Caenorhabditis elegans: one gene and its partner. The protein of the gene in region 2 purifies or fractionates together with the protein of the main gene of each other region. This does not show direct contact. Each region holds a gene or a part of one and is shown on either strand. Other genes may lie near its edges.

The links. Proteins that work in one complex are often made in the same cells at the same time.
Region 1: the proteins of B0041.1 (region 2) and Y41C4A.8 fractionate together in Caenorhabditis elegans (co-fractionation; one large-scale study listed by BioGRID). This does not show direct contact.

What each region holds. Positions count from the first base shown.
Region 1 is NC_003281.10:11,706,469-11,710,674, forward strand, and holds Y41C4A.8 (DUF3105 domain-containing protein), read right to left. Parts: upstream 2,355-4,206; 5' UTR 2,353-2,354; coding exon 2,054-2,352; intron 1,806-2,053; coding exon 1,598-1,805; intron 770-1,597; coding exon 575-769; 3' UTR 501-574; downstream 1-500. Other genes in the region: col-96 (Nematode cuticle collagen N-terminal domain-containing protein), read right to left, coding at 1-33, 96-176.
Region 2 is NC_003279.8:4,662,721-4,665,964, forward strand, and holds B0041.1 (SCP domain-containing protein), read left to right. Parts: upstream 1-1,787; 5' UTR 1,788-1,864; intron 1,865-1,908; 5' UTR 1,909-2,062; intron 2,063-2,114; 5' UTR 2,115-2,150; coding exon 2,151-2,288; intron 2,289-2,332; coding exon 2,333-2,433; intron 2,434-2,478; coding exon 2,479-2,590; 3' UTR 2,591-2,628; downstream 2,629-3,244.

The sequences.
Region 1 (4,206 bases), on a different chromosome or scaffold from region 2:
ATAGTTGTAGACCATAGGCAGGGTGATGCAGAGCTGTAAGAAGGGAACTTACAGAAAATTCTATATATTTAATTCGAGATTTCTAAGATCCTTACCGAGAAAACCGCTACCACTGAGAAGGTGACAGCCGAGTAGGCAACGAAGCGATAGGCATTTCTTCTAGTAATTTCGTCCATGATGATCAGAAGATGCCATTCCACCAGTTTCAAACCTCCTTTTATACCATCTGTTTACAACCACAACACCTCCCCAAAAGGAGGAAGAGGAAGTTTTGTGATTGAGTCCTTGACAATTTCCCACCGACACCACACGTCGTAATTGAAAGAACTGAACGAATATCATCTGGTTCTTGTGATAATGGGACGGGAGGTAATAACTTCCTAGTTGTGGCGCTTCCTCTGGGAACGGCCTGCCGGAGAAAAAAGACAGAAAAGTTGCGAAATTTTCGCGACCTTGAGGTTTTACTTTCTTTGACGAATTCAATTAACAACTTCAAATTTCAAATCATTCTTTATCACAGACAATAAATTAAATCAACCGGTGGCACATCAATTTTTGCATACAAAAAAAGCAATCAATAATTCGGACAAATCGTCTTGTCATTCTCGCTGACCGGCTTCGCCTCCTTGAGCAGGTACTCGTCATACAAACCGTCGCGAGTAATCTCTTCTGGCGCACGGTTTCCGTATTTTTTCATGAATTCAACAACTTTCTTCTCGTCGACCGAGTTCATTTCCAGCCGTGATCCCCATCCGACAAGGGCCAGTGGCTGAAAATAGGAGTTTAGGCTTGAGATTGGGCTTAGGCTTAGGCTTAGGTATAGGCTTAGGCTTAGTCTTAGGCCTAGGTTTAGGCTTAGGCTTTGGCTTAGGCTAAGGCTTAGGCTCAGGCTTAGGTCTAGGTTTAGGCTTAGGCTCAGGCTGAATCTTAGGCTTAGGTATAGGCTTAGGCTTAGTCTTAGGCCTAGGTTTAGGCTTAGGCTTTGGCTTAGGCTAAGGCTTAGGCTCAGGCTTAGGTCTAGGTTTAGGCTTAGGCTCAGGCTGAATCTTAGGCTTAGGTATAGGCTTAGGCTTAGTCTTAGGCCTAGGTTTAGGCTTAGGCTTTGGCTTAGGCTAAGGCTTAGGCTCAGGCTTAGGCCTAGGTTTAGGCTTAGGCTCAGGCTGAGGCTTAGGCTCAGGCTGAGGCTTAGGCTCAGGCTGAGGCTTAGGCTTTAAAAAAATTGTTTCCAAAAACTTATTTTTAGTTGGCATACTGAAAAAAAATTGAATTTTTTTGTAGTTTTTTTGTCTTTTTTTTTTTGGTTTTTTTGGAGAAATTAGAATTTTTGCTTTTCGTTTTTTGGTCAAAATTTTTTGCAACAGCCCTGTTAGGCTTGGGCTTAGGCTTAGGCTTAGGCTTAAAAAATTGTTCTTTTAAAATTGTTCGTTTTTAGCTGGTATGATAAAAAAAAGTCGATTTTTTTTGTCATTTTTTGGTTTTTTTTTTTGGGAGAACTTTGACTTTTTTGGTCGAAATTTTTTTGCAACAGCCCTGTTTGGGTTACATTAGGTTTTGGCTCGGGTTTAGGCTTAGTCTCAGGCTTAGACTTAAAACATACCCTCTCTGCCGTAAGCTTGATATACGGCGTAATAACGTGACGATAGATACATGACGTCACCAGCTGCCTCAACTTGTTCAGCTCGTCCAAGTCGACACACGGATGGTACAGGAGCACAATTGAGCCGTGCTCCAAGTTATGAAGCCACCGCTGAACAGGTACGTACAGGTATTCGCCGAAGCGGGCCCAGTTTGGACGGTGGTCTCCTCTGAAAAATTGCTTTGTGATTAGTCAGGCAATGATGAGCGCCCGACATCTCTCGGGGAACCACATGACCTGTAGGATGTCGGGCGCTTCCTTTTGTGAGAAGAGATACGTCCAACTGAATAATGTTAGCAACCGACATCCCCGGGGTTTCGGCATAAAAACGAAACTCGCTAGATGTCGGGCATTAACATCGAGAGGATATTGTCCAGATTAGCGTCCGACATCTCCCGGGTCTCCCTATGAACCTACCGAATAGGAATTCGATCCTCATAATCAATCGTCTCATCCATACATCTATGCATCACCTGATCCTTTTTCGGGTCGTAAGAGCTATTTTGCTGTACCATGTCGAAAAACTCAGAATCGATATCCTTCTGCACGGCATAATGAATAGAATTCAGACATGTAAATGCGCTGAAATCCTTAGAATCCCAATCCTTGATGAGATTGGTTATTCCGTCGTCGCAAGTTGTCAGCTTACCCATTACTGCGCCCATGTATCCAAAGGTGATGTGGGGTAGAATGGAGAGGATTATGAGGAGCCTCATCTGGAAATAATTGTTATCTAAGAGAATGTAGGAAAAAAATTGAATTTTGGCAATATTTTATTAATGTATAATTTTTAAATAGCAATAATGCTCGAAAAGCCCAAAAAGTTAGAGTTTGTAGCTTTAAAGGGCTGTAAGTCTGTAGGTAAAACATATATCAAAAAGTTGTCAACTAGTAAAGTGTAGGAAATTAAATTTGCAATATTTTGATAGTTGATCATTTTTAAATAACAACACTGATTGGGGAGATAGGAGGGTTTGAAGTTTTAATTAGGGGCTACTTTCAATAGAGTGTGTGGCTTTAAAGTGCCATAAGTCTGTAGGTAAAACAGATATCAAAAAGTTGTCAACTAGCAAAGTGTAGGAAATTAAAATTTCTATACTTTACTAGTTACCAATTTTTTAATAGCAACACTGATTGGGGAAATAGTAGGGCTTAAAGATTTAATATGAATGTCTGGAGGGTGGGTGCGTTCAGTAAAGTGTGTAGCTTTAAAGATCCATAACTCTGTACGTAAAACAGGTATCAAAAAGTTGTCAATTAGTAAAGTGTAGGAAATTAAATTTGCAATATTTTAATAGTTGATCATTTTTAAATAGCAACACTGATTGGGAAGATAGGAGCGTTTGAAGATTTAATATGGCCTGCGTTTAGTAGAGTGTGTGGCTTTAAAGTACCATAACTCCGCAAATAGAAAAGATATCAAAAAGGTATCAACTAATAAAATGTAGAAAATTAAATTTTCTACACTTTAATAGTTAACAACTTTTTAATAGAATCAAAAGTCAAGGAGATATTGAAGTTTCAAAGGGGCACAAAAAATAAAATAAAATGGAAAACTGAATGCTATTTGTTGTCGGGAATCTATATAAAACTTACAAATTTCGAGTTTTCTCACTAAATATTTAAGAAAAAAAAATTTAACTCTTCAAATTCCAGAAAATAGCATATTTTTATTTTTAAATTGAATTTTTTGGAATTTTTTTTTCTAATATTTTTTTTTGTTTAAAAAATTAATCTCGCAATATTACTGCCACGTCGTCCAAAAAAAATTGCCAAATGACTGATAAAAAGTGCTTATAAAATCACAAAATTTATGCAAAATGAAACAATTTAAATTTTAAATTAGGAAAAATGCATAATTTGAGAAATTATAATAACTTTCCTGTTGTGAAAATACCGCTAAAAATGAAAAATGCAAGAAAATCGATAATTTTACCCTCCAACCCGATTGGGGGGAAGAAGGAGGCAAAATGACTTTTCTCCGCTCGTGTGTTTCTCGTGTGTTCCGCGCGGAATTTGACATAAACAAATATTGGAAAAGGAACAACGGCAGTTCAGAAACCTTTTTTGGAAATTTGGAAAAATATATTTTTTAAATTTTTTCTCAAAATTTAAAAAAGTATATAAATGTTTTTTGAAATTAAAAAAAATTTGAATTTTCCACTGTTTTTTACACGGATTTCTGGCTTCCCTCATGAATTGAAATGGAAGAGTTTGCCGAACTAGACCATTTTGGCTCGGCCATTTCTGGGGTAGATTTACGGCGCGTTGCGTGTCGCGCCGCGGCTCGATTGTAAAACTAAATATATTTGTCCGTGTGGAGTACACGACTTTCCCACGCGTTGTCCGGCAGGCGATTGTCAATGGAGCGCGAAAAGTTCAATGAGGGAGGCAAGAACCCCGTGAAAAATTGGAATTTCCGGATAAAAATTTGAAATTGGGCCCGTTTTGTTGGTGTCCAGGAGGGCGCGATTGCATCTTTTATTTTAAATTTGATCCTAAAATTCTAACGAAATTTCGCAAGAAAAAAAAATCTCAAAAATTCAAATTTCCCGCGATAAATTTTTTGA
Region 2 (3,244 bases):
AGATAGAGCAAGGGAAAACTATCGCACACTTAGGGAAAATCTAGTTTCGAAAATTAACAATTTTTCGATAAGACTAGAAACTTTGAAATATTTTGATAAAACTTGAGCATTCAAAATTTTCTGAATTATCTAAACAGGTTTTACCAGTTTTCATAATGTTTCCAAAGCTATCGGAAACCTCCTTAAAACGTATGTAGTTTTAAAACGAGCATACGTCTAGTTTTTCAGAGATTTCTGGGAGACTTCGGCGGCTCACCGCACCCACTGCTGCAAATCAGAAAAAATGTGGAGCAAAATGGCTTTTGTTTAAATTCATGAAATTGAAAAATGCCTTCCGGTTATTTACTCGAATTAGAGAAACACGTTTTTCCGAACTAGAAATTTTTTTATAAGGTTTGATAAGTTTTGAGACCAAAATTCTGTCTTTTGTATGTATCCCCTTAAAGTCAAAAATATTGGAAGCCACATATTTATGTCTTCAAACTTTTTTTTTCAAACTAAACACTTTTTAGTTCTACAAACTAAAAAAATAGGAGTAGTGAATACTTCAGATTGTAAAATAAAATAAATTGTAGTATGAATTTCAGATATTTCAGTAAGTTTGTTTTGATAAAGAAGTGTCAAGAAACTAAAAAATTGAAGAATCAAGAAGCGTCCCGGTGAGGACGTCACTCTCACAAGAAGGGGAAAAATGAATGAATAACAATGTTTAAGTGTCCGGGTGGACGAAGGAGACGCGGTGTGTCCTCAATGCGCCCTGAGCATATAGAGAGAGATATAGAGAGAGAGAGACAGTGCTAGAGACACAGACAACTCGATAGAAAAAAGTGGTACATAACAAAAAAGGGCAGTAAGTAACAAACATCTGTCTCGATGATTGTTTCCCAGCACAAAATTGGACGTACCAAGTTTACACGAAGAGGATTCAAACCATTGTCCTCTGCATTTGTCCAACAACTGGTTGTTAAATTCCCACCTGCCGCCAATGAGAGGAGCTTACTGTTTATTTTGATAATTTAAACAATTCACATCACTTACAAAATTGTTTTATTTTTACTAGGAATTAGAATTGACTGAGTACATAGTAGATGCAAATGATTAAAAGTGTTCAAAATGAAATTTGAAAGTAAATGAGCCATTCATTTGTAAACGAGCAAAAGTGAAAACATTCGTAAATGAGCGTCAAAGGGATTGAGCCATCGTAAGGGATTGAGCGTTCAAGTAAATCAGCACGCTAGTAAATGAGTGTTTGCCCAGAAGGCATATGTAGATGTAGGCTGGTAACAAGTAGGCAGGTAGGCCGGCAGTAGGTATGAATAGAAATAATTTCAGATATTCTGGAAGTTAGCATAAAAAGGCACAGTGTGGGTGTTTTAGGCAGACAGGCGTGAGGGATGCCAACGGAATACATAGGTAGGCGAGTAGGCCGATACAAAAACATGGAGGTGGGCAACTAGCACGCAGTAGGCAGGAATAGCCATGATGTAGGCATGTAGGCAGCCAGTTGACGTATTAAGGCGTGAGTTAGGCTGGTATGGTGACAATAGTCATAGTAGCCAGAAAGTAGGCAGGGATACGCACACCCACCTCGTGCCTACATCTGTCTACTTCATACCTCGTACACGTAAAAAATTTATCTAATATTTTTCCAAGTTTTTCAATTTAAAAGATGCTGCGGTGAAATCAATTTGAAAATTCAAAACGTGACCTTTTGCAGTTCAAAAAGATAAGATCTTTGAATATTTGATATATAAACAGGGGGAAAGAGTAATTAAAATATTATTCAATCGAACAATGTTCACCAACATCTCTCTGATGTCTCCCATCGCCAAGATTGCCATCGGACTTCTTGTCATCCTCTGTGGTATTTGTATTCAATCTCCGCTTGTGTTCATCATCAAGTTTCAGCCCATTGCATTTCTACTGTTCCCATTGTGGAAAGTCGTTTCTCACTGATGATTCTGTGTTGTGAGGGCACAGAAAGAAATTATCCAGTTTTTCAACCTGTGGCGTGGATGAATAGCTCATGACCGAAGCATTGCCAATATGCATTGGATGATGAGTTAGTTCGAAAAAAGCATTTATAAATATATATATAGTTATTGTTCGAGCAGGTTTTCGATAAAGACCTCGAAACAAAGGCATTGCATATGACATGTCAGGATTGGAAGAATTTATGGAACTCTATGTCTGATGGGGCAGGTCTAAAGGCTGATCAATTGTTGAAAAAGTTCCATAGCAAAGGACAACCATTTGCTACTATGAGTGAGGCGACTAAATTAAAATTGGTAAACTTCAGCTACAGTTTCCAATATTATAACTCCATTTTTAGGTAGCAGAATGGTATTATTTCAATCCGGCTCAAACGAAAATTGCGTTTATTAAGAATCACTGTGGTGGTGAAAGAAAAGATATAGTTCTCCTCGGTCCTTGGTGAGTGACTCCAGATACCAGAATCATCTTTTTTTATTATTTCAGGGAAACATTCAAAGACAATCATTTTGTGTACGGAGAACCAGGAACCAAATGCCCAAGTGAATATCCAATTGACGACATGTGCGTTCCCAAAAGAACCAATGGAACTCTTTAAATGACTGAAATTGTATTTGAATGAAAGTTTTGAAGAAAGCGTTTTTGTTTTTGATTCTGGCAGATTCGAAATTGCATGTTACTTCATACTACACTGGGCCTCCATCATATTTAATCAGAGTTTGTCCAGTATGTGGAGCGTTTATATATTTTTCTACTTATAAGTTACACAAGTATACTGTATGAGATTTATTGTTTCAATTCTTTTTTCAGTAAGTTGAGTTATCATTTTGGAATGAACAGCTTTATAGATTCGCTGCTTTCAATTTTTAAGAAAAATTTGAATATTTTTTCGAAAATTGGTGGTTTGGGTTTATTGTAAGTTTTTTTTGAGCAAAATAACCCCCACGAACTTCTTTCTTTTTCCTCTTCTTCTTTTTCTTTCTTATTCTTTAATTGATAAATTAAAAATAAATTTATTTAAGATCAAAACAAGTTTTTTTTTAACATGAAAAAAAACGTTCATTTTCTGAAATTGACTCCCATATTGGGCGCATTGTATATCTCACGGTTTTCCAACCGTGAACCCCCACTCTTTATAAAGGCGCACATATTTTCGCATGTAACAAAAAATTGCCGTGGTAAGATCAAGTATCGTATTTTAGGCTTAAAATCGCTGGATTATTTTACTAAAATTCATAATACAGTTTGACAA